Sus scrofa: one gene and its partners. The protein of the gene in region 1 interacts with the protein of each later gene in a pairwise test. Links are inferred from orthologs where the notes say so. Each region holds a gene or a part of one and is shown in the gene's direction. Other genes may lie near its edges.

Evidence for each region.
Region 2: the proteins of SETDB1 (region 1) and MBD1 interact in binary tests that used the Homo sapiens proteins (3 or more experiments, as listed by UniProt). The link is inferred for Sus scrofa from reciprocal best matches to the Homo sapiens genes SETDB1 and MBD1.
Region 3: the proteins of SETDB1 (region 1) and CDK4 interact in a two-hybrid assay, tested with the Homo sapiens proteins (2 studies listed by BioGRID and IntAct). The link is inferred for Sus scrofa from reciprocal best matches to the Homo sapiens genes SETDB1 and CDK4.
Region 4: the proteins of SETDB1 (region 1) and TSC22D1 interact in a two-hybrid assay, tested with the Homo sapiens proteins (2 studies listed by BioGRID and IntAct). The link is inferred for Sus scrofa from reciprocal best matches to the Homo sapiens genes SETDB1 and TSC22D1.
Region 5: the proteins of SETDB1 (region 1) and UBE2I interact in a two-hybrid assay, tested with the Homo sapiens proteins (2 studies listed by BioGRID and IntAct). The link is inferred for Sus scrofa from reciprocal best matches to the Homo sapiens genes SETDB1 and UBE2I.
Region 6: the proteins of SETDB1 (region 1) and MRPL44 interact in a two-hybrid assay, tested with the Homo sapiens proteins (2 studies listed by BioGRID and IntAct). The link is inferred for Sus scrofa from reciprocal best matches to the Homo sapiens genes SETDB1 and MRPL44.

The regions. Positions count from the first base shown.
Region 1 is NC_010446.5:98,272,310-98,277,135, reverse strand, and holds part of SETDB1 (histone-lysine N-methyltransferase SETDB1), read left to right. Parts: intron 1-356; coding exon 357-547; intron 548-1,525; coding exon 1,526-1,655; intron 1,656-2,708; coding exon 2,709-2,871; intron 2,872-2,954; coding exon 2,955-3,113; intron 3,114-3,962; coding exon 3,963-4,586; intron 4,587-4,826. UniProt on the Homo sapiens protein: Histone methyltransferase that specifically trimethylates 'Lys-9' of histone H3. H3 'Lys-9' trimethylation represents a specific tag for epigenetic transcriptional repression by recruiting HP1 (CBX1, CBX3 and/or CBX5) proteins to methylated histones.
Region 2 is NC_010443.5:99,900,607-99,904,825, reverse strand, and holds the end of MBD1 (methyl-CpG-binding domain protein 1), read left to right. Parts: intron 1-46; coding exon of another isoform or gene 47-86; exon of another isoform or gene 87-1,820; coding exon 1,821-2,010; 3' UTR 2,011-2,790; downstream 2,791-4,219. UniProt on the Homo sapiens protein: Transcriptional repressor that binds CpG islands in promoters where the DNA is methylated at position 5 of cytosine within CpG dinucleotides. Binding is abolished by the presence of 7-mG that is produced by DNA damage by methylmethanesulfonate (MMS).
Region 3 is NC_010447.5:23,038,716-23,044,094, reverse strand, and holds CDK4 (cyclin-dependent kinase 4), read left to right. Parts: upstream 1-2,135; 5' UTR 2,136-2,202; intron 2,203-2,647; 5' UTR 2,648-2,666; coding exon 2,667-2,884; intron 2,885-3,043; coding exon 3,044-3,179; intron 3,180-3,296; coding exon 3,297-3,464; intron 3,465-3,629; coding exon 3,630-3,739; intron 3,740-3,987; coding exon 3,988-4,038; intron 4,039-4,178; coding exon 4,179-4,314; intron 4,315-4,553; coding exon 4,554-4,646; 3' UTR 4,647-4,889; downstream 4,890-5,379.
Region 4 is NC_010453.5:22,520,911-22,525,736, forward strand, and holds part of TSC22D1 (TSC22 domain family protein 1), read left to right. Parts: coding exon 1-2,065; intron 2,066-4,826. UniProt on the Homo sapiens protein: Transcriptional repressor. Acts on the C-type natriuretic peptide (CNP) promoter. Acts to promote CASP3-mediated apoptosis.
Region 5 is NC_010445.4:40,565,277-40,570,736, reverse strand, and holds the start of UBE2I (SUMO-conjugating enzyme UBC9), read left to right. Parts: upstream 1-1,795; 5' UTR 1,796-1,915; intron 1,916-5,460. UniProt on the Homo sapiens protein: Accepts the ubiquitin-like proteins SUMO1, SUMO2, SUMO3, SUMO4 and SUMO1P1/SUMO5 from the UBLE1A-UBLE1B E1 complex and catalyzes their covalent attachment to other proteins with the help of an E3 ligase such as RANBP2, CBX4 and ZNF451.
Region 6 is NC_010457.5:125,730,435-125,735,986, forward strand, and holds the start of MRPL44 (39S ribosomal protein L44, mitochondrial), read left to right. Parts: upstream 1-1,984; 5' UTR 1,985-2,002; coding exon 2,003-2,181; intron 2,182-3,687; coding exon 3,688-4,156; intron 4,157-5,552. UniProt on the Homo sapiens protein: Component of the 39S subunit of mitochondrial ribosome. May have a function in the assembly/stability of nascent mitochondrial polypeptides exiting the ribosome.

The DNA.
Region 1 (4,826 bases):
TTAATTCATGGTGCTGCCTGATTCTTTTTTGATTTACCTTTAGGCTTATCAAGTTAGCAAGAATTTCCATTTGACTTTTCCTAAGAAGAAACATCCATTTTTGTGAAAACAAGTGACCCACCTATGTTTGCATATTGCTTATTTGGTATTTACTTAATTTGCATGTGCTTTTACACAATAAGTGTATTACATTTCAGGTGGTCTTGGTTTTGCTTCCCTTGAGATTATGATTTCTTCATTTATTTTTTCTCTCCCTCTCAACTTGAAAAATACCAAATATCTCCTTGCCAACTATTTTTTCCTATCAAGACATGCCCTACCTGCCCTCTCTCAGCCTTGCTTCTTCCTTGGGACAGTGAAAAAGACTTGGGAGGACATAGAAGACATCTCCTGCCGAGACTTCATAGAGGAGTATATCACTGCTTACCCCAACCGCCCCATGGTGCTGCTCAAGAGTGGCCAGCTCATCAAGACTGAGTGGGAAGGCACATGGTGGAAGTCCCGAGTCGAGGAGGTGGACGGCAGCCTAGTCAGGATCCTCTTCCTGGTACTCTTCTTCTGAAGAGTTTTGGAGGCAGGGGTCTGGGTGGGATGGAGGAGCACAAGGCAACAATAATAAGGACGTGAGGACGCAGGTTTGATCTCTGGCCTCCCTCTGTGGGTTAAGGACCCAGCATTGCCGTGAGCTGTGGTGTAGGTTGCAGAGGTCGCTTGGATCTGGCGTTGTTGTGGCTGTGGCGTAGGCCAGCAGCTACAGCTTCAATTCGACCCCTAGCCTGAGAACCTCCATGAGCTGTAGGTGTGGCCCTGAAAAGACAAAAAAATAGTAATAGGATGATTTTGTAGCTGTGCCATATTTTTCCCTCTTTCTTATCCTCTTACCTTTTCTCACTGTTTGGGGTTGAATTTTACTTTCTTTTTTTTTTTTTTGTTCCTCTATGAATTTGTTGGAAATAAATTCCCTGAATTTAATTGTGGCACTAATCTTCATGATGGTTGTTTTCATTTTTCTCCAGGAGTATCCACAATGTATGTAGGTACAAGGAAGGCAGCTAGTTGTGTTTGCCCAGGGTTAGGGTTTTGGTAGCATAGTAGGACAAAAAAGAGGGATGATGGAATTGGAGGCCTTTTCCAGGCCCAGTTTAACTCTTAGGTCTTCTGTACCTATCCTTAGCTCTCCTTTCACACCTTTCTTAGTTATATTTCTTTTCTGAGCTATCTCAGCCCTCTGATCCTAAGGCTTTGTGATCCTTGTTACACTTCTTATAATCAGTGTAAACATCTTTCTCTCTTGTGATGTTTTAAACCAGGAATATATGTGCTTTGGGGGTTTTTTGAAAAAAATATTCCTGATACCCATCATGGAGCCTGGCACATGAGTTTATTAAATAACTTCAGGGAACTCAGGGCTCATCGGAGAGATTTCCTCTAAGGGAGGCACATCATATATATTCTTCACAAATGGCAGGACAGATTCCAGCCTTTAACCCATTCTCCTCACCCTTTCTGCCTCCCAATCCCTCAGGATGACAAAAGGTGTGAATGGATCTATCGAGGCTCTACACGGCTGGAGCCCATGTTCAGCATGAAGACATCTTCAGCCTCTGCACTGGAGAAGAAGCAAGGGGGACAGCTCAGGACACGTCCAAATATGGGTATGTCCTCAAAGATACCCTGAGAGAGAGAAGAAATGGACAAACAGGGAAGGGATTTATATACAATGGCTATCTTTTTTTTTTTTTTTTTTTTTTGCCATGGTCTGCAGAAGTTCCTGGGCCAGGGGTTGAATATGGACACAGCAGTGACAATGCCAGATCCTCAACCTCTAGGCCACTGGAGAACTCCTACAGTGGCTATCCTTTGTTTGTGAGGATGACACTACTTACTCATTGGAAACAGGACATGTGCCTGTTGGGTTGTTTCCAGTGGTGGTAATGGATTTTTGGCGCTCCTTCCACGTTCTGTGGCTCTGATTTGTTCTAAAAACCACCTAAAAATCTGAAACAATTGCCTTAGGTTAGAGGTATTGGTGGTAGTGACTACCTACCTCTGTTTTCCACATAAGGATTATCTGATTTGTTTGTGATCTTTGGTCACAGTTTTTTTTTTAAGGGCCGCACCTGCAGCATATGGAAGTTTCCAGGCTAGGAGTTGAATCAGAGTTGTATCTGCCAGCCTACGCCACAGCCACAGCAACACCAGATCCAAGCCAAGTCTGCAACCTGTATTACAGCTCATGCCAACGCCAGATCCCCAGCCCACTGAGCTAGGCCAGGGATGGAATCTTCGTCCTCATGGATACTAGTTGGCTTCATTACCACTGAGCCACTACAGGAACTCCTGTGGTCAGTTTTTCTTAAAAGCCCAAACTGTCTTTATTTTTATATGTTCTTGCATACTTTCTGGTTAATTTTTCCTGATAAACCTAAGTTGATCAAAGAATGCATTTTTTTTAAAATTGCAACAAAATATGTAGCATAATTACTAATGTAAGTCGTCTGAGGCAGGAAGATAAAATCTTCACTGTCTAAATAAAAACCTGTGCCAGTATTCCCACTCATCAGTGTAAATAATGAGATCTAACAGTCTTAGCACTTAACCAAAATGTCTCCATCATTGCATTTTTCTATTATAAATTGAGGTTGAAGTGTGTGCACTAATATAAATGACACAGCTATTATCTTCTTGGTGTTTCCTTTTTCCTATAGGTGCTGTGAGGAGCAAAGGTCCTGTGGTCCAGTATACTCAGGATCTGACCAGTACTGGAACCCAGTTTAAGCCACTGGAGCCCCCACAGCCTACAGCCTCACCTGTCCCACCTGCCCCCGCCCCACCAGGTCCACCTCTGTCCCCACAGGCAGGTGACAATGAGTGAGTGCTATTTCTTCTTTTTTTCTAGTTTCTTTTATGTAATAATTTCTGTATCCCTTACCATATGATTTCTAATCTCCTAGAAGCTTGGAAAGCCAGCTTGCCCAATCTCGAAAGCAGGTAGCCAAAAAAAGCACATCCTTCCGACCAGGATCTGTGGGCTCTGGTCATTCCTCCCCTACATCCCCTGCACTCAGTGAAACTGCCCCTGTTGGGAAACCAGGGATCAATCAGACATATAGGTAAGAAAGTCTCAGGCTTTCTGTTGGAGGGGTTGGCAGTATGGACTGAGTGGTCACTGTATAGTGGTCACTGTTCCTTGGCCACAAGGGGGACCTAGTTAAGATTATGATGGTGAGGACTTTGGACTTGAAAAGAAAGCTTTAACCTTGAAAGTCTCCAAGAAACCGAACATAGAAGTAACTGAATTGGAAACTAGAGGCTTAGAAATACAGACACTGGAAAGTCATTTGTTAAGACTGCTCACTGAATATGGCGTCATCATTGTTATAATAGAAGGGGAAGGGGAATTCTTTAGCCTCTTGCTTTGAATTATCAGAGTTAGTAAGGACATTTATAGGACAGATAGCAGGAAAAACAAGCATTGGTAGAAGACTGGACTCTACTTCCATAATTCATAGGCAGGAAAATGTATCGAACGGAAATAGAGATATCATCAGTCTGTCCACAGTAATAACCGGAACAAAGTTCGCGCTATGGCACAACAGGATTGGCGATGTCTTAGGAACACTGGGACACAGGTTTGATCCCTGGCCGGGTACAGTGGGTTAAAGATCCAGTGTTGCCACAGCTGTGGCTTAGGTCAGGACTGCGGCTTGGAAGGATCCCTGGCCCGGGAACTCCATATGCTGCAGGCGGCCGAAAGAGAAGGAACAAAGAAAGAGTAACCAGGGTGTTACTTTACCAGGCTTAGTAAGGTAAGGGGAAATTTGACTTTCGTGTATCATCTTTAGCTCCAAGAGTACAGCTATTTGAAAGGTTAGAGAGAGGGCTTAGCCAGTTGATAGGCTAATTATACAACAGAGAGGTCCTATTGCCTTCTTATCTGATGTCTTGCCTGTCATTTACAGATCACCTTTAGGCTCAACAACCTCTGCCCCAACACCCCCAGCTCCCCCGGCACCCCCAGCCTTCCATGGCATGCTGGAGCGGGCCCCTGCAGAGCCCTCCTACCGCGCCCCCATGGAGAAGCTTTTCTACTTACCTCACGTGTGCAGCTATACTTGTCTGTCTCGAGTCAGACCTATGAGAAATGAGCAGTATCGGGGCAAGAACCCTCTCCTAGTCCCACTACTGTATGACTTCCGGAGGATGACAGCCCGGCGCCGAGTTAACCGGAAGATGGGCTTTCATGTTATCTATAAGACACCCTGTGGCCTCTGCCTTCGGACAATGCAGGAAATTGAGCGCTACCTTTTTGAGACTGGCTGTGACTTCCTCTTCCTGGAGATGTTCTGTTTGGATCCATATGTTCTTGTGGACCGAAAGTTTCAGCCCTATAAGCCTTTTTACTATATTTTGGACATCACCTATGGGAAGGAAGATGTTCCCCTCTCCTGTGTCAATGAGATTGACACAACTCCCCCACCCCAAGTGGCCTACAGCAAGGAACGAATCCCGGGCAAGGGTGTTTTCATTAACACAGGTCCTGAATTTCTGGTTGGCTGTGACTGCAAAGATGGGTGCCGCGACAAGTGAGTTGCTTGGGGAATTGGTGGCCTTCCCTCCAACTTTGTTACAATTGCTTTTCTTTCTAACTCTTCCTTTGTCATGTATCTGCACTCCTTTTTCCTTTCCTTACCTCACTTTACCTCCTTCCTTAGCTGGAGCTCCTCCTGTAAGGCCTCCATGAAAGCTATGAGACAGGCTGGGTGCTGACATGGCCCCACTGTGTAACCCTGGGTATATGTGTCTTGTGTTTGTTTCTGATTCTT
Region 2 (4,219 bases), on another chromosome or scaffold:
TATAGGGAACTTCATTCAACATACAGACCTGCTCCCTCTTCTCTAGGTCCAAGGACCTTAAAAAACCTGGAGCTAGAAAGCAGTAGACTGGAGGCTTCTGCAGACTGTAGGACTCAAGGTGATATTTACAGACCGACTCTATGAGAGACAACACTGATCTGCTCAGAGGCCGGACCATAGATGGATTGCCAGGGCTTGTGTGGGAATCAATAGGAACTGGGAAAACCTACCACCAAATACGAGGAGCAGGCCTGCTCAGTACTTTGAGCTTATAGAGGAAGTAAGCAGAAAAGGAAAAAAAGAGTAGAAAGTTGTTCTGTCTGCTCCAATCGGTGCAAATCCCAGGAGTCTGAGTGCTAAGAAGTGTGGATATTAAGGAGGGGGGGAGTTGGGGTGGGGGAGGGGATGTAATTTAAAGCCACCTTCAGCCTAAACAAGCCATCATCATAAATAATTTTAAGTGGCTTTGGATGAGACCTGGCAGTGTCTCTAAACATTTCCTCAGGGAGACAGCAGTTGAGAATGTAATGTAAATAAGTGAGGAAAGGAACTGCTCTTTGGTGAGTTCCTCTTATGGACCTAATTTATTTAATACTCAATATAGTCTTTGTAGGAAGGCATTGATTTGGCCCCTTTTTGCAGACAGTAAAACTGAGACTCAAATTAAATAACTTGTCCAGTGTCAAACAGCTAGTGTTGATAGAGCCTAGAATCAAACCTAGGATTGTAAAAGCCTTGTTCTAAGTTAAGCCACTAAACTGTAAACTATAACCTATATCCAATAGTGTATAATAATGTTATAGTAACAGAAGTTTCCAGTGACCTTGAAAACAAGATGGATTTCTCTAAGCATTAAAACAAATCCCTTACATTGCTGCCCCGGGGATGGTTTTAGGGAGTGCCAAGGCAGCGTGGATGTGGATGGTGTCACCTTAGCAGAGCATCTGTGCCTCCCGAGACTGGGTTCTTCCCAGGACTTGGGTGCTGCATAGAATTTCTCAAACACTAAAGGGCATCCTTTCCCACAGGCTGCTGCTTGTTATAGTCACTTCCTATCCTCAGCCAAAGCAATCTTCAGAAGTAAAGCTCCTGACCTGGCTCATCTTTCCTCACAAATTGCGTCCCCTGTTCCTTGGTGACCTTTGTGCTTGGTTTCTGCTCTCAGCCCCTATCTGCTAGGAATCTGAGATCCTGCTTCAAGTCCTGCCTAAGGGCTAGTCTTGGAGCTCAGCCCTGCCTCACTTTTTATTCTTCATAAAGTGCCAAAAAGATTAGACCTGTGATTCATTACTTAGTTAGCTTTACAGGGCTGGAGCTGAGTGCATGCCTCCATAAATTTGGTAGCCTCTCTGCCTCCCTTGCCTTACTCTAGTCCCAGCCCTGTAGCTTTAGATAATTCAGATGTAGATGAAACATTTCTTCTAATTCATACAGTCCTCTGCTGCCCGCCTCTGCTCCTTCTTTTGCCTCACCCTACTTACTTCAGCCAGAGTCAAGACTGGATAATTGTTTTGCTGCCCCCAGGGTCCAGCCACCCAACCCCTAGTATCCTGGTAATTTTAACAGTAGTGTCCTAAGTGAAAGTTATTTGAGTAGCATTCTGACTCGAGAGATAAAAGAGTGTGGTTACTGTGTGAATCAGGATACAATCAGAAAAGCAGCACCACTAATATAAAGATTATACATATGTGTGTGTATTTGTATATATAAAGATGTATTATTTTAAGGGATTTATTATAGGGATTGACCTTATGCAGTGGTGGGAGCATTGAACAGTCTCTTAAGGCTGTCGTCTTTGCATCTAATGCTGGAGCTTGAAGTCTGCAGGACAGGCAATCGAGAAGGGAAGAAGGATGTAAAGTGTGGGAGACCAAGGACACACTGGCGCCCATGAGCACGAGCTGGAACCCACGAGGATGGCCTGGAACCCATGTCAGCCTCTCCCCACCTCCAACTTCGATGATATGGGTGTCCTGCAGAAGAAGCTGGTGCCCTTCATCACAGAGTTAAATATGCATCTGGCCTAGGAATTAGAGAAGCTGAAGGAAGATCCTGGGGAAGGTGGAGTAGCTACAGGCCTGGCTGCAGGTCTGCCTGCTGCCCCATACCAACGAGGTGAGCCAGCAGATAAATGACAACATGTGTGAACTGCAACAGTGCCTGGTGCCCCTGCACCAACCTTCCAAGTAAAAACAATGTGCTGCTGCTTCACTTCTGCCCTCCAGTTATGATGCTAAATGTTTCTTGTGGCCCGTCCTAACCGGAAGCATACGGGGAAGGGAGTACTGGGAAACGTAGCCTAGTCAAGGTGACACATTACAAAGCTACCCTGCCGTGAATCAGCTCCCAAGGGTCTCACTACTCACCTGAGGATTACTTGATAACGCTACGTTGCTGAAAATGCAGAGCTGAAGACCATGGATTTCATGGTGATCCCAGCAAGATCAGAAATTCTGTCAAGCCCAACCAGAAAAAATCTTGCTGGTCTCGGTATTTTTGTGTCAGTCAAGTCTTGAGAACCTGGCCTATGTAGGGACTGTACTTAATACTGGGGTTCAGGAATGAACAAGATAAAGTCCATGCATTTTTATTAAATACATCCGTATGTATTTACAAATGGTGAATGGATTTCCAGCTTTATCATGGAACTTAATGGTGAAAATACAGAATTCGGGAAGCTGTTGGGAGGACCTCCCTTGTGTGAACCTTGTTGGGGCCCAATAGGCATTGGGAATAATATAAATAGTTTTTATCTTTATGCTGTTCTATTTTAAAATTATTTTTAAATGATTTTATTGTCCCATGTACTGATTTATACACTTAGTGTTTCTTTTGAGAATGTCTTGATGGTGCTTAAGTGTTGATTGACTGCCTCTGAGAAAGTGGTATAGTGGTTCACAAGCAGGATCAAGGTCAGGTTCTATCCAAGGACCTTAGATGAATCACTTCTCTTAGGCCTGCAGGGGGACTTGGTCCCACCAGGCTTGGCACCTGGCCTGGCTCCTCCACTCTCTGAATGTGCCCGCCAGGGGCCACTGGGATTTCGGTCTTACCACCAGGGCTTGAAAGACGCTGTCCGTCATCCCTGGCTTGGGCAGCCCTGGGGCGTGACCTCCACCTGGCAAGACTTTCTGTCCCTGAGCTGGCTTGGAGGGGGAAGCCAACTCTCCTCTTCGCAAAAACTCAGCAGGCAAAACCAAACTGGAACTAAATTATGGGGCGCGCCAGGGTGAGGGCACGGCACGTGCTCAGGACTGATGCTGGGATGTTCCAGGGCAGCCAGGTGTCGCCAAGGGTCTTCTTCTGATGCTGAAAATTCAATGGGATCCTCTGAGCTGTAGGACCTTGGAGGTTCCTGATGAGTGCCTGAATCTCAGTGGCTTTTACCAAACCCTTACCCCCTGTTGAGGGCATTTTCATTGCCTCCCATTTACCCCAAGGCTGTGGTGTCAAGGGTGGTTCCATCCAGACCAGCCAGCTGGCCAGGTACTCCTGGGACACGAAGATCAAGGAACCGGCCCTCAGGCCCCCCACCAGGAAACAGACGACCATCTAATTTCTTTCTTTTTTGTTTGTTTCAGGCTACGTAAACTCTTAGCAGTAAATGAAAATGAGTATTTTACTGAACTGCAATTGAAAGAAGAAGCATTATAGGAGATTAAAGACAAAATGAGAATTTTTAAAAGATTGTAAAAGAGAAGAGAGACACTATTTTGTGGCTGAGAAAGGCTGAACCAGCAATTCAGGAAATGGAGTCCAAACCTAGAAACGTACCGCATACAAAATCTGAAGTAGGCGGATTATAAATGATTAAGGAATGCCAGTCTATAGTAAATTGCGGTGTTAAAATGGGATGCACAGTATTAGTTGTATTTTGGTTATTACACGTTAGTGACCGACTAGGTGCTGATTTTTTTTCTGTGCTGTAATAATAGTTTTATGTTCGCCATCACTTTAGAATGAGAGGACCAAAGTGTCATTCTTATTTGGCTTTTAGGTAATTAACTGCCACCTTGCTCTTGACCAGAATTACAGCTGTGGTCTCCGTTTGTGCTGAGGGCCCCTTCTGGGTTTCCTGACCTGTGTTTGTTTTCCTGCCTGGGATCCGGAATCTCAGAGCCTGATTACTTTCCATTCTGATCCACATACTAGCCCTGGCCCTGGTTTTTTCTGCTTCTGGCCAGGTTGTATCACTGCACTGCCAGCCCCTCTGATCTGC
Region 3 (5,379 bases), on another chromosome or scaffold:
CCACAACAGGGAACTCCCAGAGAATGAGTTCTATTTTAAAGACAGTGAGTTGTAGGGGGGCTTCATTGGAAGGTGAGGCTAAAATGAACCCTGCTGGTATGGGAAGGGAGTTCGGCACACTCAGAGACAGACTTCAGGAACGTTCCTAGCAAAACAGCCAATGGAGCAATTTAGCCAGTTTAGACCTTGAGATGTTTCTTACTAGTATCCCAGCTGCCCTTGCCAGCAAGGGCCCAGAGCTAGAACTTTCAGAATGCAACATGGAGTTCCAGCCATGGCTCGGTGGTTAATGAACCTGACTAGTATCCATGAGGACTCAGGTTAGATCCCTGGCTCCGCTCAGTGGGTTAAGGATCCAGCATTGCTGTGGCTGTGGTGTAGGCTGGCAGCTACAGCTCTGATTCGAACCCTAGCCTGGGAACCTCCATATGCTACAGGTGTGGCCCTAAAAAAAAACAAAAGACAAAAAAAAAAAGAATGCAACACAATTTATGTTCATCTCAAGCTTGACATCCTCAGCCAGATGGTTAAGGAGAACAGAAGTTAGGGTGCAAGGAGAGCAAATAGACTAATAGAATGGTTTCAGATATTAGACAGTTTATCATTAATGAGACACTGATCCTTACGTTTCCTTATCCCCATTCCCCCAAAGGGTTGGGAGATAAAGAAGTTGGAGCCAGTAAGACAAGAGAAGCCAGAGAAACCTGCCTATTGCCTACCTAGATGTCTGTGAGTGGGGAACATTTGTTCTGTGGAGGGACAAAGGCTAAGGAAGCTTGCACTGGTGGAAGAGAAGGCCACTCAATGGCCCCATATAAAAAGTTAGAAGGTTTGGACAAGGGCATAGTCATTTTTATGCAATGTGGTGGTAACTTCCTTGCACACACTCATTCCTATATCCATCTGTATATGATGTATATAATAGCGTGCGCGCGCGCGTGCACACACACACACACACACACACCATCTTAGTGCAGAAAAGAAACTTTTTTTTTGGCCCCACCTGTGGCATATGGAAGTTCCCGGCCAGGAACTGAATCCGAGCTGCAGATGTATCAACGTGGGATCGCTAACCCCCTGCGCCTGGTAGGGTTGAACCTGTGCCACCACAGAGACAACTAACTCAACGGATCTCACCCCGCTGCACCACAGCAGGAACTCTGGAAAAGAACCTTAAAGGTCAAGTATTCCTGTTTCCAGCTCATTAATAACCTCTCTGCCAGGAGGTATCTAGATTCTGCTTTAACACTCCCAGGGAGAAATGGAAGTTCTGAAGAGGTGAAGGCACACTACCTTGCCACGCTTCCTGTTGGATTACTGTATTTATCTGCCTTCCATCAGTCCTTTAATGCTAGTTTTGCCCTAAAACGGGTATTGTGTCCTCTCTATTTTATATGATCACGCTGCCGGCTATATCTTTACATATAGCCTTTTCACTACCTTAAAGGGCTAGTGCCTGAGACACCAAAAAAACTCATGTAGCAAAAACCGTACATTTACACAGGAAGTAAGCGTTCGGTAAAAATTTGTTGAATGAGTGAATGAAACAAAGACACAAATGAGAATATGTTTTCCGATGGCGGTGGTACATAAAGGCGACAGCACCTCCTCACGTCCCCAGGCCCCCCACTCTGCATATAGAGTGACAGACGCATAGTGACACTGGAGTTGGCGCTCCGGCTCGGCCTGCAATGGGGAATTGGGATCTGGGTGGCCCAGGTTGCCATGGCACCGTATTGGACTCCACCTTCTCTAGGCTCCCGCCCCCCCCTCGCCAGAGTTACGGCAGCCAGTCACGTGCCCTACAGCGTAACCACACCTCTGCTCCTCCAAGCAGTCAAGCGGTCACGTGTGATAGCAACAGATCACGTGGCTGCCATCGCCCCTCCGCCCCTTTCCCTTCCCCGCCCCCTTCCCGGTCAAATAGGCTCCAAGCTGCCTTTCTGCGCACGCGTACTCTGGTCACGTGTTCCGAACGTCCGGCACATTCGCCCCGCCCTGCCAGTTTCCGCGCGCCTCTTTGGCAGCTGGTCACATGGTGAGGGTGGGGGCAAAGGGGGCCGCTCTAGCCTGCGGCCTATGTCTATGGTCGGGCCCGTAGAGTCCAGCTGCCCCAGACAGAGCTCGAGTGCATGGCGCTGCAAGAACCGGCTCCGGGGCCCCGATAACGGGCCGCCCCCGCAGCTCCTGACACGGGGCGAGGTAAGTGTAGCCCCCTTCCAGGAATAGGGACCATTCTAGTCCTCCCCGGCTTCCTACGCGGGCTGGTCTGGAAGGGTCGCTCGAGGGCGGGAAGTGGTGCAGGGTGTAGTATGTTCCTTTGTGGTCATAGGGAGGTGTAATTTAAAGGACTAGGTGAAGGGTCTTCAATGCAGGGGGTGTGTCGTGTGGGATTTCCCTTGTACAGGGCTTGATAGTCCCAAAGAAGAAGGAATTTTTTAATTCTAGGGCCTCACGTGGCTGGAGGGCTTTTGGTTAATCATTGTGTTACCTAGGGGGGTCGGCCTTATGGAAATTTGGGGAAGGGACGGGATGCTGCTCTTGTTGTCTTTGGGATATGTTTTGTGCGAGACACTTTGTTGCCGCAGGCTCATAACTATTTGAACTCTGGAAGGGAATTTGGTGGCAGGAGTCTCTGTGATTGTAGGGTCTCATCTGGTCTGAGAATGGCTACCTCCCGGTATGAACCAGTGGCGGAGATTGGTGTTGGTGCCTATGGGACCGTGTACAAAGCACGGGATCCCCACAGTGGCCACTTTGTGGCCCTCAAGAGCGTAAGAGTCCCCAATGGAGGAGGTGCTGGAGGGGGCCTGCCCATCAGCACGGTTCGTGAAGTGGCCTTACTGCGCCGGCTGGAGGCTTTCGAGCATCCCAATGTTGTCCGGTGAGAAGAAGGTGGAGGGTTGGGAGTGGGTAGTAAAAAGGAATAGACAACCTGTAGGTGGGGAGTGGTGGTTGAAAGAAGTGGGGACCCTGAAGGAATAGGGGAAGCCATGTTAGGTCAAAGATGATTGATCACTGAGTGACCTTTTGTTCTGGCCAGGCTGATGGATGTCTGTGCCACTGCCCGAACTGATCGAGAGACCAAAGTGACCCTGGTGTTTGAGCATGTGGACCAAGATCTAAGGACATATCTGGACAAGGCACCCCCACCAGGCTTGCCGGTGGAGACCATCAAGGTGAGTAGGATGGACATATACTGAGAAGTAAACTGGGATCTTTGTAGTAGCATCTGTTGTGGCTTCCAGTATGATGCCTAGTTTCCAGTTTCTCTGTACCTCCCCCTTCTAAACCAGGATCTGATGCGTCAGTTTCTAAGAGGCCTAGATTTCCTTCATGCCAACTGCATCGTTCATCGAGACCTGAAGCCAGAGAACATTCTGGTTACAAGTGGTGGGACAGTCAAGCTGGCTGACTTTGGCCTGGCCAGAATCTACAGCTACCAGATGGCACTTACACCTGTGGTCAGTAGAAAGATGGTAGCCAAAATGGCTTCTGGTTAGTGGGAGGAGAATGCTTGCTCGTAGCAGTTGGGAAGTCACGTGTTTTTTACGTGCTTGACTTCAGTGAAGCAGTTGTGCTTCATGGTAAGGAGTAGGGACCTCATCGACCCTTCTTATTCCTATTAGGTGGTTACACTCTGGTACCGTGCTCCAGAAGTTCTTTTGCAGTCTACGTATGCAACACCTGTGGACATGTGGAGCGTTGGCTGTATCTTCGCAGAGATGTTTCGTCGAAAGTATGGGGCCCAAATAACCCATAATTTCCCAAATCTCTTATTCATAAACCACATCCATGTCATGGCCACTCTTCTACTTGAGTACTCCTGACCATCTGGTCTATAACCAGAAGCTCTGAAATATCCTGGAATTAGGAATTCCATAGCTCTTTATTCTACATACCCGATGTTCTGAGCTACTAAGCTGTAATCATTCTTCCACCATATGTTTGAAAATGACTGCTGTCTTATGTCTTTTCTCACCTCAGGCCTCTCTTCTGTGGAAACTCTGAAGCTGACCAGTTAGGCAAAATCTTTGAGTAAGTGATTGGGAAGGGAAAAGAGTTTTCCATTCTTAGTCGTCCTCTTTCTGCTGAGCCCTGGTTGGAAACTGGCTCTGCCCCTGGGGGTGGGGGCTAGAGACGGGCCCTCCTGACCAGAGTTCTCCTGTTTCCCATAGCCTGATTGGGCTGCCCCCAGAGGATGACTGGCCCCGAGATGTGTCTCTACCCCGAGGAGCCTTTTCCCCCAGAGGGCCCCGCCCAGTGCAGTCGGTGGTACCTGAGATGGAGGAGTCTGGAGCACAGCTGCTACTGGTACTGGGCTTGGGTATGGGCACAGGGTGAGATTGGGGTGAAAAAACAGCAGTATAAAAGGGACCCAAACACATTGTGATCACTGAGACTCATTAGTGGATGGGCTAGTTTTCTCTTGCTGCTTTGAATGGCAGTCCACAAAGAGAGATAGAAAAGAACCCATTCTAGATATTGTTAAGGGTGAGTAGAAGTCTATTTTGTTTTCTTCACAGTTTTCTGACCTTTGCCTCCCTTCTTAGGAGATGCTGACTTTTAACCCACACAAGCGAATCTCTGCCTTCCGAGCCCTGCAGCACTCTTATCTACATAAGGCAGAAGGTAACCCAGAGTGAGCAATGGAATGGTTGCAACAGAACCAAGAGAAGAGAAGCCAACACTTCCCTTCCTTTGAACACTTGAGAGTCCCTTGCCGAGAAGTCGATCTCTGCCTTCATCTCTGGGGTGTGGAGACGACTGCCTCTGTCTTTTTACAGAGAATATTTTGCTGCCTTAATGACATTCCCCTCCCTCCCCTCCTTTTGAGACTTACCCCCCCCCATTTCCTTACACCAAGGGGTATGTTCCTTGCTCTCCCCTTCCCTGTACCTTGATACTAGAATCCTTTTTTATACAGGAGAAACAAAACAAAGAAATACGGTCTTTTTTCTGGGAATGTTTTTTCCTCTGATTTAGGGATTTGAAAAAAAAAAAAAAAAAAAAAAAACATTTGGAAGATGGCACTTCCCCACAGAATCATAGAGTCTATAGAGTCAGTGGAGCTCCTTAACTGGCAAAAGAAGAAAAGGCACTTATGTTGCTTTTTTGAATATAGAGTTTAAATGGCTTTTATTTTTATATTTACTGAACTTCTTCAAACTGGGTCCAGCTTATTACAAGAGTTCTTGGTGGTTTTCTCCCTGGCTTTGTCCCTGATTTACCCTTGGAGCCAGGATGTGTTGAGGCAGTCCAGCACATGGAAGGGAGAAGAGGGGAAACAGAGCCAGGAGTTCCTCCGACCTCTATCCCATCTCATGCACTTTCAGGAGCTTTCCATATCCACTTAGGGAGAGAGGAAGGAAGGTTTTT
Region 4 (4,826 bases), on another chromosome or scaffold:
CTGTATCATCGGGTGGCTCGCCTGCCCCCGTCATGCCTAGTATCCGAGCTTCGAGTACGACGGGCAGTATAGGTATCAATTCTGTCCCTGGCACTAGTGCGATGAATAACGTTAACCTTGCTGCCGTGGGTAGTTTTAATCCCAGCGTGACCAGCAGCATGCTTGGTAACGCTAATGTCAGTGCCAGCGGTATTCCCAGTGCTGCTGGCGTGAGTGTGGGGCCTATAGCGAGCGGTGGTGTCAACGTGAATCTCCTGAGCGGCATGGGCAATGGTACTCTTTCTTCCTCCGCTGCGGTGAACAGCGCTGCCAGCGCCGCTGCGGGGGTGACGGTGGGCTCGAGTCAGCAGCAGCAACCCGCAGTGAACACGTCGAGGTTCCGAGTGGTAAAGTTAGACTCTAGTTCGGAGCCTTTTAAAAAAGGCAGATGGACTTGCACCGAGTTCTACGAGAAGGAAAACGCCGGCCCTCCTGCCGAAGGGGTGGTGATAAACAAAGCGGTGGAAACTGTAAAACAAAACCCGCCTGAGGTGACCTCCGAGAGGGAGAGCACGAGTGGGAGCTCAGTGAGCAGCAGCGTCAGCACCCTGAGTCACTACACGGACAGCGTGGGGAGCGGCGAGATGGGGGCCCCAGCTGTGGTGCAGCTGCAGCAGCCGCCGCCGCCGCCACCACCAGCGGCCCTTCAAGCTGTGGCCCTTCCGCCGATGGACTTCGGCAGCAGCGTGGGCGCCCAGAGCCTCCCAGCGGGTAGCGTACCGCCTAGTGTTTCCCAACCCCAGGTCTCGCAAGTGCAGTTACAGCCTCCGCCTCCAGAACTGAGCTATCAGCAGAAGCAGGGTCTCCAGCCAGTACCTGTGCAGGCCGCTCTCCCCGCTGCGCCTGGTGTCCAGCCAACACCTGTTGGTGTGGTGGGCGTAACTCCAGCTTTGGGTCAGCAGCCCTCCGTTTCCAGCCTGGCCCAGCCCCAACTGCCGTATTCTCCGGCGGCCCCTGCAGTGCAGGCTCCCCTTCCAGGCGCACCACCCCACCAGCTCCAGTATGGACAGCAGCCGCCCCCCGTTTCTACACAGATGGCCCCAAGCCACGGTACGACAGTGACTCCGAATCCTCCCTCCGAGTACGTGCAGCCTCCGCTTCTTCAAACAGCAGTGCCCTCTGGCCAGCCTGCCCCTGCGGGAGTGGCAGCAGGAGCCCCCGGGATGCCTCTGGCTCAGCCGCCCAGCATCCAGCTGCCGGTGCAGCCCGCGGCCGGCCAAGCACAACCTGCGGGGGCATCTGGCCAACCTGTGGGCCAGGCTCAAACAGCAGTCTCTGCCGTGCCTCCTGGGAGTCAAATCGCAAATATTGGTCAACAAGCAAGTATACCTGCAGCAGTGCAGCAGCCCTCCCCTCAAGTCACACCTGCAGTTCTCCAGCAAGGTGCTCCTCCGCCATCACACATAGTTCCACCTGCTCAAGCTGCGATTCTTCATCAGGGAGTTCAGACCAGTGCTTCAAGCCTTCCTCAACAACTGGTCATTGCACCCCAGAGTACCTTGTTAACTGTGCCTCCCCAGCCACCAGGAGTAGAGTCAGTAGCTCAAGGAATTGTTTCGCAGCAGTTGCCCGCAGTTAGTTCTTTGCCCTCTGCTAGTAGTATTTCTGTTACCAGTCAGGTTAGTTCAACTGGCCCTTCTGGAATGCCTTCTGCCCCAACAAACTTGGTTCCATCACAGAATATAGCACAAGCCCCTGCCACTCAGAATGGTAATTTGGTTCAAAGCGTTAGTCAACCTCCCTTGATAGCATCCAATATAAATTTACCTTTGGCACAACAGATACCACTAAGTTCTACTCAGTTCTCTGCACAATCATTAGCTCAGGCAATTGGAAGCCAAATTGAAGATGCCAGGCGCCCAGCGGAACCCTCCTTAGTTGGCTTACCTCAGACTATCAGTGGTGACAGTGGGGGAATGTCAGCAGTTTCAGATGGGAGTAGCAGCAGCCTAGCAGCCTCTGCTTCTCTTTTCCCGTTGAAGGTGCTACCGCTGACGACACCCCTGGTGGATGGCGAGGATGAGAGGTAAGATCATGCCATGTTTCTGCAGACATTCAACAGATGCAGAGTTAATCCATTCAGTAGCTATGTATGTGCATAAGATTAGTCGAAAGCATTACATACTTTTTCATTTTTTATGTGTGAAAACGCATTTTTTTCTGGTAAGTTTTCTAGAGCAAGAGTTAATGGAATGGCCTCAGCTGGATAGGAAATGGTATAATGGTATAAGCAATATGTAAACAGGATTCAACAGAATAGTTTTTTGGGTGTTACACATAGGTTTGGGAGCACCAAGTCGTTTTGTTTGGTATAAAATGGCTTTTAGAAATATTAACCATAAGCAGAAACTTAATTTTTGTTAACCCGTATAATAGTTAATCTAAGTCTTTTGAATTCCTAAAATTGTTAATGACCATCTCTTGGCGGGGCAGGGGGGACTTGCGCTTTCCCACGTTTGTTTCTCCTTCACTGGACTGAACAATCCTTTTCAGTTCTACAGTGTTTGATCTTAGTCTGTGAAAGATAATGTTACCTGCTTTTCCTACTCAGATATTATAGGAAAGATGACCTAAGCTGAGTTATATAGGTTGCCCTCAAACTGTAATTGACCAACTTTTGCCTACTTATTTAATGGTCCTTTTTCCTGAACAGTAAAGAAATGGGAAATCTTAAAACGTGTTTTGTGGGAGAGGAGGGCATCCACTGTCAAAGAAAAAACAAAACAAAACAAAAACACACAGGTTTATCTTTGGTAGTAGTATGCGGTACATTTTTCCTTTTGCATAGTGGATCAAGGTGGTAGCCATTTTAAAGAGTCAAAGAAGAGAAAGTCTTGGAGGTTTGAATTTATGGGCATGAAACTGACTTTGTTCTCCTGCTCATCTACTCCACCTGTTCCCCTTTTCCCTTACCCAAGAAATAGGTAGAAAGTCTAAAATACATTATTAAGCAGTGCTTTCTTAATTGGATTGGAAATAATGAGGTATGTACGCTTACTGAAACAAATTATGTCTTTGAAGCTGGCTAGTTAGAAAAGTTGACCTCTCTCTTGATACTACGTGGCTTTAAACTAAGTTGATTTTTAAAAGGAATGCTCTTTTCACACATTTGCCAGTCTGTGACTAACCTTGATCAAAATAATATAGGAGTTACGACAAAGGCTGTTCATTTTCACTCTGGAACTTTGAATAAGCTTGAAAGATACTTAATTATTTTAGTATGAGTCGAAGATTTTGGGGATTGAACTTTTATGAAACCAGTTGGAACATTTACATTCTAAATGGGTATTTGAGGTTTTCATTTTGGAAAAATTGGGCATATTTCAAAAGAGTTGCAGTTTTAGAAAAACAGAGACCAAATGTCTCAGGGAGGTTTTCATGATTTTTCTTTTTTAGTTTCTTGAAAGATGTAAAGTCATGATTAATTGAAATAATTTAAAATCCTGTCTTTCAAGATTTTTATTGTTTTTCAAATAGTCATAAAATTAAAATCTTGTTGCCCAGCTGTTTTCTGTATCATGTGTGCAAAACTGTACTTTAGAAGAAAATGCTCTTCTAAGAGGAGGTTTCCTTTAGTCCTATTATGATTTTTGTTAAACCTTTAAATTTATCAGATTGTGCTGATATGGGCAATTTTAAAGAATTACTTAGCCCAGATATTAATGTTTGCCAAATCTAAAGGGTGTGATCTCAGCAAATCCCCTGTAAAAATGGGTATATAGCATATGGATGCTCAATTGAGAGAAATAAAAAATGGGTGAGATACACAAATGAAAACCACATATTTTGAATTCAAACCTTCCATGGTTTTTGCTAATTACCATTTGTGGTCTCTTGGCATGACTTTCCCCTTTTCTTCCCCCTCCTGCTGGTAGGGCACGTTAGAGCTTTCCACACTTGGCTGTTCCAGACAATTAAAGTCAGATGTTGCTACTTAACAACTAGGTTTTTAACTGTAGAGCTAGAGTCCCAGTTTAAAATATTAGTACAAAATTAATTTTGCATATAGCAACCGAGATGAAGTTTAATTAGGGGCAGATTATGTAGAAAGATTTGAAACTAGAAGGACAAAAATACTGAGAAATAGGACTAAATACCGGTGTAGCGTAACTTGAGTTGACTGTACCTGTTTTGAATTAACTGCATATTTGAGCCTTTGTTAACATCAAAGTTAAATCATCAAGATGAGAAATTTTTTTTCAGAGATGACCTTTAAATCCTGAAAAATCAAAATGATTCACCCTTAAAATACCTGTAAAGGTCAGGTAGAGTAAATTGATTTAATATTTTCTTTATTGTGTTTTTACCGCAGATTATTTCTTTTATCACTGTAGTTGGGAGAAAGAAGTGTTTCATTTAAATTTGTTCTTGGAAGGGAATTTGAGAATATCTACAAGAGAAAAAAGTGACCGTGATTAAAAAAATTCTTTTTGCTTTTTCTTTCCACATTAGTTTCTGTGTCACTTGCATCTTCTGGGCTTGGGCACCTATTCGTACATTGTAATGTCAACATTATGACTTAGAAAACACGTTAGTTAACAGTAAAACTTTTGGGTGATAGGACAGATGAAGATTGGTTATTTGGTCATCCCTTGAAATAAGTCTCTAACACCTTCCATTTTAAAATGCCCATTATACATGTGGAAGATGCTTTCAGTTGGCCACTGAGAGAGACTATAAAAATTAGAAACATAGACTGGGCATTAAGATTATATATTTTGTTTTTTAAAAATATTCTTGTTAAAAAAATCTGTGTCCTATTTTAGCCTTTAATGTGAACTTATTTT
Region 5 (5,460 bases), on another chromosome or scaffold:
TTCTGGGGATAAGGTCAAATTCAAGATTTCTTTGAAGAACCTCTCCTTTGTAATCGCCGAGGGCAAAGGGGTCTTCGACTCATGTGAGGGTGGTCTCGAAGGGCTAATATCCCACCTGGGTTTCCCCCTGCAAGGCTGTGGCAAGCAAGACAAGGAGGGGATGCCCCTTCATGGAGCACACATTCAGATGTCTGCCTGGCCACCTCTCTCTAGGGAGTTTAGGTGCCTCTTAGCAATTGGCTGGTTCGTATAAACCCCGAACCTGGATCCAACTCGCAGGGAGGTTAGAGAATCCTCAGAGTCCCACGCAGCTGTAAACCGTATGAGGTTACCATGGAACCGCAGGTTAGGACCCACTGGGACCCCGTAGTGGAAACAGTGGAGCCACACAACTGAACCTGAGATGCAATCGTATCAGGCCACAGTCACTCATGCATTCACTCAGCCGTCACAGACCTCCCCCTTGGGAGGTCCCTTCCTGGGGTCGTCAGACTGGAAGACGTAGGTCTCCTCTTCTGCCAGTAGGCAGGACCTGACGGGGACTGGCCTCGGGGCCTTACCTTATTCCGGAGCTTTAACTAGTCTTGCTTGGGAGTTGGTCCGTCTCTCCACCGAGTCCGGTTGGGGTTCGGCCATTGGGAGGACTGGAGCACCGCCACGAAGGAGGACCCGAAATACCGTCGGGTGGAGCACCGCCTCGTTCGCCTCCGGAGCTCCCCAGCCTTCCTGCAGCTTCACCGCAGCCCCGGTGGCTCAAAGGGCCAGAACGGTTGGGGTCTCGCTGGGGCCTCCAGAAATGTTACAGCTCCACGTGCAGCACCGACCAGCGAGAAACCAAGCGACACTGGGAGAGGAGGAGAATTTAGCTCTCATACCCGGCCGGCCTGGGGAAGATTGCTCTCCAGAACCCAGGCCCCGAACAGGGGTGCTACAGGCTTTTACAGGCCAGTTCTTCTGGGTCCACGCTTGGAGGGGTGGACCGGAGTGGGAACTGGAGGAGCCGGCGGCAGGGAATGTTCCAGCTTTAGGTGTGGGTCTGTTAGTGGTCACATGATCATGGGGGGGCGCTGAGCAAGCGGGGCTTACAGAAGCAGAACTTGCAGTTGGAGAGGTTTTCCATTAGTAATGTCAGGTTTTCCCTTTCATTCCCCCAGGGCCAGCCCTGGGTTAGGGAGCGTCCGCTCTTCTCCTCCCATCGGTCGGGCAGCCACGCTACCTTTTGTACGGGGTCAGCTCATTGGGCAGATTCGGCAGACGCCCCGCCCTGAGCCCCGAACTGGCCAATTGCAAGGAGTTTCACGGCCTGCCGCGCGCGAGGGGTTGTCACCGTGCTGCGACGCTTCGGGGATCCCTAGGCCTCAATGATCTTTGCTCCCCGGCCCCGGGCCCTAGCCCCAAGGAGACCTCCAGGACCCGTGCCCGGGGAGGTGCCCGCGGGGCATCCGGGGGGCCCTTGGAGATCTCGGCCTCCTGGTTGCCCCGCCGCACGCCGGCGTGTCCTCGGATAGACGCGGGCCCCGCGAAGGGGAGTTTGCAGACGCTCCCTCACATAAGGGACGCGGCTCCTTTAAGGGCACAGGTGTCCAGGGCGCCGCCTGACTGGAAAGCCGCCCCCGGGGCTGGGCTCCCAGGCCTGGCCCGGGGCGCGGGCGCCCGGCGGCGGGGCACGGGCGGCGGGCGGCGCACAGCGACGTGGACGGCGCGGGGCGTGCGGCGGCAGCGGCGGGGCGCGGGGCAGGCGCGCGGCGGGCAGACTCCGCAGGCCCCGCCCCGCCCCGCCCGCGCCGGGGTCCTCGAGCGCTCGGGCTGCGCGCGGAGCGGGCTCGGGAGGGAAGTCCCGAGACAAAGGAGCGCCGCCGCCGCCGCCGCCGCCGCCGCCTCGTCCGCCTCACTCGCCGGGCCGCGGCCGCCCGAGGTGAGCGCGGCGAGACGGGCGGGCCGGGGACCGGGCCTTGTCGGGCTGGGGCCTCCGCCGCCGTCGGGCCCGGCCAGGCGGGCTCCCTCCACCCGCGGCCCGGCCGGGCCCGCTCCCGGGAACCGGCCTGCCCCGGTGTGTTGACGCCGCGGCGTGGGCCGGCCCGCTGGGCTCCGCGGCCCCAGACGGCGGGGGCGTCCACTCGGGCGCGCGCTCGGGGCGGGTCGCATCGCGGCCGGGCCGCAGACGGCGCCCGCCGCTCGGGCTGCGCTGACAGGAGCGCGAGCGGGCGCCGAGCCCTCCGCCGAGGCGGAGCGTTTCCGGGGTCACGGTCTGCGCGCGAACCTGTGGCGTGTGCCAGCCCTGGAGACGACGCATCGCACAAAGAGCGCAAAGCCTCGCGCTGCGGCAGCGCCGGCCCGTTTGGGGGTGGTGTGTGGTGTCTGTAAATCAAAACAAGTCCGAGTTCTTGCGCCTCCGGAGCCTCGGCCGCAGTTGGTGGGACCCTGGGCACCCGCGCTTCCTTTGACGGGGAATTTTCCTCCTGGGACTGCTTTGTACCAAGTGCACGGAGGCTGGAAGTGGTAGTTGAGCCAGGAGCAGGAAGGCCAGAGAATGATTAGCTGGGCTCGCGGTAACGGCCTGCACCTGCCTCTCAATCACAGAATTCACTGGTTTGGTTTGTGTGGTTTGAAAACAAGCTTAGTTCCTCGGGTTGCAAAGTTGTTGTTCTGTGTTTGCAGAGTTGGTGCCCTTTCCAGACCCCTAACCTCAAACGTTTCTTGCTACTAAGGAAAACTTTTTGGGTTGGAAGTCTTCCCACCAGAAGAGGGGAGTGGATCCCAAGTTTTCCCTGACTTGCTCATGGCCCGCCGGGTGGTTTAGGGGGTGAACTCTGCATCTTGTTGCGATAGTCTTGCTCGGGATTTGGGGCCTGGCTGCAGAAACGGGCAAGAACAGGGCGTGCACCTGGGCTGGAGAGTCTCCCGAGTGCAGGGTGCCTGCATCAGGTGAAGCAAATGCCTTCCCCCTGGGAAGCTGATGTTTGGGTGGGAAGGGCCCATCCTGGGCTGCTGATCCTTGCTCACTTTCACCCTGGGCCAACCCGTGAGTTCACAGTGCTGTGGCTTATCGCACAGCTGAGAAGGCTGAGGCTGGGAGAGAGAAGCATCTCGCCCGCATGTGCAGCCAGTTAGTGGCTCTGCAGGCTTTGCTGTCAAATCGCAGCGTGTGATCTAAGAAGAGGGGATTCAGGCACAGCTCACTCTGGAGGAAGGTGGCGTGGAGACTTCCAGAATCTGCCTGGACATCCCAGCTGCTGTCCTGCAGGCTAGCGGTTCGTGGGTATTTCATCCTTGCATCCTAACAATGTCCATCTCTGGAGTGTCTGCTAACATTCAGCTGCTTCGGGTGACTCTTGGTTGGGGAAGGCAGATTTAATTTTAAGTGGGATTCTGAAGGAGTAGCTCCCCTTGTCATTAAAATGTAACAAATTGGGTGCTTTCTCCCGGATAAGGGAAGGCCAGGCCTCTCTGCCTGGGCCTGTGGCTCTTCACCCTTTTGTTGCCTGGTCTGGTCCCCTGGCACCCCTGAGGAAGGGGAGGCAGGAGTTCCTGTGGGACCCCCCCCATTACCTTTGGCGCAGCCACAGCTGGGCTCTGGGACAGCCTGCAGAGGCAACTTTGTCCCTTGTCAGCAGAAGAGGTGGCCTGTGGCCGGGTGCTGGCGCACGGTCAGCAGGCAGGCAGCACTCAGGATGGCCCCCCTGGCCTGGTCTGCATCCTGGACAAGCCGTGACCCCTGCCCTCCTCCCCGAGCAGCCTCAGTTGCCCATTTAGTATCCATGGCTCCTCAGTGTCCACAGTGGTGCCCTGGGCCTTCATGACCCATGGTCAGCGCCTGGCCAGGTGCAGACTCACGGGGAGCAGCCGCTTGCTGGACTCCTGCCTCCGTTAATTCAGACGTGTCCGCCTGCTGCCGCCTTTGCCCTGGCTGCCCAGGGGCTGCAGAGACCCTCCAGATTCCTCAAGCCCTGCGGGAGGGGCAGCCCCACTAGCTGCTGGAGTGGGTGGGGCAGGGTTCTGTTTAGAAGTGAAGGGTTGGGGAGTTCCCGTCCCGGCTCAGAGGTTAACAAACCCGACTAGTATCCCGGAGGATGCAGGTTCGGTCCCCGGCCCGGCTCAGTGGGTTAAGGAGCTGGCGTTGCTGAGCTGTGGTGTCGGCCAGCGGCTACAGCTCCAATTTAACCCCTAGCTTGGGAACCTCCATATGCCACAGGTGCAGCTCTAAAAAAAGACCAAAAAAAGTGAAGGGTTGGAGGCAGTCAAGGGAAGGAAAGCTTTTCAGACTCGGGGTCACTGCCCCCGCCTCCCTTGGGCGGTCCCTGGCCCTCGCAGCCAGTGACCCTCCTGGCTCTTCTTTCTGTTCCTGGTGAGCCCGCCTGGAACAGTCCCTTGCATTGCTGCAGCTTGTGCCCACGCGGGCACCTGACCCTGTAGGACCGGGTGCCTCCCTGCCATCGTCCTGCTTCCTGTGTCCTGGCACCTAGCACTTCCCAGCACACGTCTTCCTCCTGCGTGGGCCTTCTGCACAGCCACAACTCTGTCTCTCCTCAGTTTGTGTTGTGTGAACAGACAGATCCCAGGCGGGGAGTTCCCATTGTGGCTCAGTGGTAACAAACCCGACTAGTGTCCATAAGGACGTAGGTTTGAGCCCTGGCCTCGCTCGGTGATCCAGCCTTGCTGTGAGCTGCAGCGTAGGTCACAGATGTGATTTGGATCCTGCATTGCTGTGGCTGTGTCGTAGGCCAGCAGCCGTAGGTCTGATTGAATCCCTAGCCTGGGAAGTTCTGTAGGCCGCAGGTGCCGCCCTAAAAAGACCAAAAAAAAAAAAAGCTGTTCTGTTTTGGGTGCAGGACTGGTGTTACTTGTCTGGGACTTAATCTTGAAGCCTGGCGGGGTGAGAGCCTGTGGAAGGTGTGCTCAGAGTGCTGGGGTGGAGCTGCACCTGTTCCCATGCCTCCTGAGTGGCAGGGGCTTCAAGTTTTGACCGTCTCTGTTCCTCATGGTGGCACGAGCACACCTGCTTGTGGACAGTGCACCACATGCAGTTGGTCCGGTGGTCTGCACTAACTCACCCTGCTTCCGAGACCCGGGCTCCTGTGTCGTGCTGGAGGCTGCCACGGTGATCCCCAAAGGACACCCAGAGTTCCCGGCTCCATGGGGCCCCTGGGCCTGGGGCCCGTCCGTGTCATAAACACCCACTGAGGCTGCCATCCCGGCCTCGCCGACCTGCTGGTCTGCGGTTGAATGGTTGCCGCAGCCCCACCCTCCTGCACAGACAGGGGTGTGTTTGTGTTGGGGGCCTGGCGACAGAGCAGCCAAGGAGCAGATGTGGGGTCAAGGTGTGATTTGTGCTGCTGGAGCAGCTGGGGCCAAAAGGGGTGTGGGGTTGGGCGCGCCAAGTGATTAGGGGGCCGGGGCTGCTGTGAGCAGCAGGCGGCGGGCGGACCCCCTGTGTTTGAGGTGTGCCCCCCCTCGGCGGCG
Region 6 (5,552 bases), on another chromosome or scaffold:
AACATTGGAAATTCTTCCTCTTTTTTTTTTTTTGCCTTTTTTTAGGGCCATACCCTTGGCATATGGAAGTTCCCAGGCTAGGGGTCAAATCCGAGCTGTGGCTGCCAGCCTACACCACAGTCACAGCAATCCTGGATCTGAGCTGCATCTGCAACCTATGCCATAGCTCATGGCAATGCCAGATCCTTGACCCACTGAGCTAGATCAGGGATTGAACCTGTGTCCTCATGGATACTAGTCTGGTTCATTTCCACTGAGCCACAATGGGAACTCCCAACATTGAAAATCCTTGACCTAAGTAGTAACATGCTTGGGTCTGTGTTTCATCTGGGATATGAATGTAGGTGAGATGTGTCCAAGAAAGAGAGTATAAGACACATTACTTTGGAAGCTAATTACAACAACCTGGGAGGGAGGTAGGCTAGCCATCAGGTAGCTGCTTTGGAAATAAACTGAAAAAGAACTTGACAACTGGACAAAAGATTGGAAATAGGAACCACTGAAGACATAAGAACCCAATCTGGGTGTCTATATCGGGGCAAAGAAAACACAGAAGAGTGTCCTTTTGAATGTCCAGATGTTCAGTAGGCAACTCAAAACTAGGAATTCAGACAAGTCTTCCTTTGTGCATTAACGTTAGGTATTTTTTAAAAATCACAGTAAGGTTAGTGGGAAAGCAATATAATCATATTGCTATAGAATGAAAGAAAAAAGACCTATAAGTCCACTGTTATTTATTTATTTATTTATTTTATTTATTTATTGGTCTTTTGTCTTTTTAGGGCTACACCCATAGATATGGAGGTTTCCAGGCTAGGGGTCTAATTGGAATTACAGCCGCCAGCCTACACTACAGCCACGGCAATGCTGGATCCAAGCCTCATCTGTGACCTAAACCACAGCTCACAGCAAGCCAGATCCTTAACCCACTGGGCGAGGCCAGGAATCAAACCCAGAACCTCATGGTTCCTAGTCTGATTCGTTTCCGCTGTGCCATGATGGGAACTCCTATTTTTTTTTTAATCCAATGATTTTTCCCCCCATTATAGCTGGTTTACAGTGTTCTGTCAATTTTCTACTGTACAGCGAGGTGACCCAGTCACACATACACATTCCTTTTTCTCACATTATCATGCTCTATCATAAGTGACTAGATATAGTTCTCAGGGCTATACAGCAGGATCTCATTGCTTATCCATTCCAAAGGCAATAGTTTGCATCTATTAACCCCAAATTTCCAGTCCATCCCACTTCCTTTCTTTGATTAATAAAAACTGGTACTGTTAGATTTTTTTTTTAAGTAACAATTTTAATTTGGGTAAGTCAGTATCTCTTATTCTAGGTCTCTTGAAAGAAAGGCTTTTGGAGATATGCCAGGTAAATATTTGCACATAAACAGTGTTTCGCTTGATGGTCTGGAACTCTAAATAATATGTTGCTAAGAAGTGTTTCCTCCCTTTTGAGAATGTGTTTTCTTTTTCTTTTCTTTTTTTTTTTTTTTTTTATTTTCCCACTGTACAACAAGGGGGTCAGGTTATCCTTACATGTATACATTACAATTGCGTTTTTTCCCCCACTCTTTGTTCTATTGCAACATGAGTATCTAGACATAGTTCTCAATACTATTCAGCAGGATCTCCTTGTAAATCTATTCTAAGTTGTGTCTGATAAGTGAGAATGTGTTTTCTTTAAACGTGAATCTGTTCTTCTGTTTTACATTAATGAAAGGAAGGAACGAGAGCAACCAACAAAACGAAGCAACTTCGAGAAATTTCTGGATCCAAACGGACCTCAAACCAAGTTCACCAGAGTAAAAACCAGGTGAGCAAACAAACCAACCCCACAGAGTGTGCATGCGCAGTAAAACAGCCTCGGCTGTCTGCTGCCCCGCTCTGGCTCCGCTCCACCTTCGCTTTCCACCACCAGTTCCGGGGGGGACGGTGTTACCGGGGACACTGATCCGGCTCTTTTCCTTCCGCCCTCCATTGCTCTCTCCCCTGCGATGGCATCCGGGCTGGTGAGGCTGCTGCAGTGGGGACCTCGCCGCCTCCTGGCACCGGCCGCCCCGACTCTCGCCCCGCCAGTTCGGGGAGCAAAGAAGGGCTTCCGCGCCGCCTACCGCTTCCAGAAGGAGTTGGAGCGGTGGCGCCTCCTCAGGTGCCCTCCGCCGCCCGTGCGCCGGTAGGAGTCGTCTAGGGAAGGGGTCAGGGTGGCTGTCGAGGACCCGGCGAGGTCTCCTCTGCGGCCTCGGCCGGGCGGCGGCGCGGGTTGCTCGTCGTTAGTGCGCCCCTGGCTGGCGACGAGGAGTTTGTGCGGTGGAGGCACCCGCGGGACGGACATGAGTGGCCCGAGGCAAGGGAATGGATTTCTGCCGAGGGGTTCCGACACTTCGGAGCTCCCACTTAGAATCCTGTCAAGTGAGAGTTACGAGAAATAAGGCCGGCTGGGTCACCTTCATCTGGGCTTGGGTGCTGTGGCCCCTGTTTTGTCTTGCCTGAGACTTCTTCGGGATTTGGGGCAAGGAAAAAGATTAAGTGTACAGTCACAAGTCCACTGTCCAGAGTAAAAGGAAAACGGTTTGACGTCTGGTTTTTGCCTTGATTAACCTTGCTCCAGTAGTAGAAGTTCTCGTAGAAAGAGATGCAGATCTTTATAGCTACCCCCCCCCGCCCCCCCAAAAGATCCTATTAGACATGAGGTTTTGCATCTTTTTCTCTTTAATAATGTATCTCTGACACGTAGTTGTGGTCGTATAGGTAAATGAACCTCACTCTTTTATGGCTCCATTTATGGGTGTTCGAATTCCATGTTACTGCTGTCACCACTGATGTAACAGTGAATAGCTTTGAAGTTATTACTCCTTTGGAAATTTAGTATGAAATTTTGATAGGTACTTTAATATTGCCCTCCCCTCTAAAAAAAGTTGATCTGGTTTACATACCTAATTTAGGAATATATGTGATCATAGTTCTGTACTCTTTAAAAGTTCTTTCAAAAACAAAATACTAAGTTCTTTTCCTAAAAAGAATAACAAAATAGTGTTTCTTAGTTCGCATTTCTTTGATTATTGTTGAGATTAGGCTTTTGGAGTTGGAAGAAACTTTACAGATTATATACATTTTGATTTATAATCCAGATCTTTATAGTTTGTTGCCATTTTTTACTTAAAAGAGTTTTCTTTAAGACCTTTTAGTCACTCTTGAGAATGATTATGAACTTTTAACATACTTATAATATTGATACTAGTTTATTTAATTGCTCATTTAAATGGATGCTATCAAAACTTAAATCAGTAAAATACTGGGTAAATAAAATGTGCTTACTGTTTATGGCTTGAACCTATGAAATTATACTTTGTATTTCATGTCTAAGTATAAAGTAGGTCTGTGGTTAGAGCAGAAATAAAGAACCCAAAAGTTAGGATAATGTTTTAGTCTTTGATACTGAAAAACCGTTTCGATGTGGCGGTTGATTTAGGGAAAATTAATCCGGCAAAGAACCACAAATAATCTTCGGACTTGAGTTTTAATTTTCAGAAAATCAGAGTCTGGAATTAAAATGAAAGTCAGTCTTTTAAAATTTCCTTTATATAATGAATAAAATTGCATCACAGTGAAAAATGTTTGCGTCATAATAGCATCTTGTTCTCTTTACCTACTTTTTCTGTCTTCTGTTTTACATTTTCAGTTCAGAGAAGCCCAACTGGGATTACCATGCTGAAATACAAGCATTTGGCCATCGGTTACAGGAAACCTTTTCCCTAGATCTTCTCAAAACTGCATTTGTTAATAGCTGCTATATTAAAAGTGAGGAGGCCAAACGCCAAAAACTTGGAATAGACAAAGAAGCTGCTCTTCTGAACCTTAAAGATAATCAAGAACTATCTGAACAAGGGATATCTTTTTCACAAACTTGCCTCACACAATTTTTTGAGGACGCCTTCCCAGACTTGCCCACTGAAGGCGTTACAAGTCTAGTTGACTTTCTCACCAGTGAGGAAGTTGTGTGTCATGTGGCTAGAAACCTGGCTGTGGAGCAGTTAGCGCTGAGTGCAGAGTTTCCTGTTCCCCCGCCTGTGTTAAGGCAGACTTTCTTTGCAGTGATTGGAGCCCTGTTACAGAGCAGTGGACCAGAGAGGACTGCACTTTTCATCAGGGTAAGTGATTGGTGCTGGGACCTCCTAATTGCAGGTGCTGGGATGTGCTTGAGGTGGACAGAAAGAAAAGTTGTCTTTTATCCTGAATTTCTTGGCAGGTTACCTGTGAAATGTTCTCCCTACCCAAACTGAGAAAGACCTAAAGCTTTTTTATTATGGTAGTGTCTTAATTTTTCCAGTTGTCTCTTACTGAGGACAGCATCAGAGGTGAATATTGAATTTTGGGTTGTGAGTTATAAGGACTGCAAGCCATGTCTTTAGTTTTATATCCATGAGTACAAGGGTAGTGCCTACCCGTAGATGCTCAGTAGAAGTCTGATGAATGAGTGAAGGACACTATTGGAGGGCCAAGTGTGGTTAGGGAGCACCATGCTTAAATACTGGCTCTTGTTCTGCTCTTTTAAGTGATAAAATCTTGGATTTCTGATGCCTGTGACATATACCTAGCTTGTTGTTAGCCAGTAGTTTAGCTAATTAAAATATTTAAATAATTAGTATGGCTTAATTCCACTGTTGTTTTAGAATTTGTTAGCTGGAAGATGTTTTATCCTTTGCTTTTGGATGAAAACATGAGTTTTTGAATTCTTACATAATGGATAGTCAGGCAGTCACTTCAGGTCACAAAAACAGTCTTTTTTTTTTTTTTTTTGGTTTTTATGGGCCACACCCATGGCATATGGAGGTTCTCAGGCTAGGGGTCCAGTTGGAGCTACAGCTGCCACCCTACACCACAGCAACTCGGGATCCAAGCCACATCTGCAGCCTACACCACAGCTCATGGCAAAGCTGGATCCTTAACCCGTTGAGCGAGGCCAGGACTGGAACCTGCAACCTCATGGTTCCTAGTCTGATTTGTTTCTGCTGCTCCACAACAGGAAATCTACAAAAACAGTCTTGATTCAGACCTTGGAACTCAGGTGTTTTGAACCAACATACCTTACTATCGAAATCTATTTATTTAGTTTTGAAACTGAGTTTGATCATTTTGATTAGGAATACCTGTCTTAACCAGCATTTGGACATCATTCCTAGATAAGTCCTGTCTTCCTCCTTCCCCAGCCAGGGCTGATCATAGGTGAACTACCCGTCTGCCTTTGGAGAGCAGGTATGTTAACTGACCCCTCTGGGGTAGGAGCTCAGGGAAACAGAAGGGGAAAGGAAAGCAGAAGATATTGACTTGATGGCTATAAGTTGGTGTAGGGCTTTCTGAGCCTGGTCAGTATTTAAAACAGACTCTCGTGAGCATTTTGTTCCCTGCTGGAACTTTCTAACCATGTTCCTTGACGTGGGTGTTGGCTCTAAACTTCTGCTTTCTTGGATAGGATTCCTTTCAAAATCGCATCCTTTCAGTGAGTTCCACATCAGGTCTTAAGGGTTTTTATACCTTTGACATCAG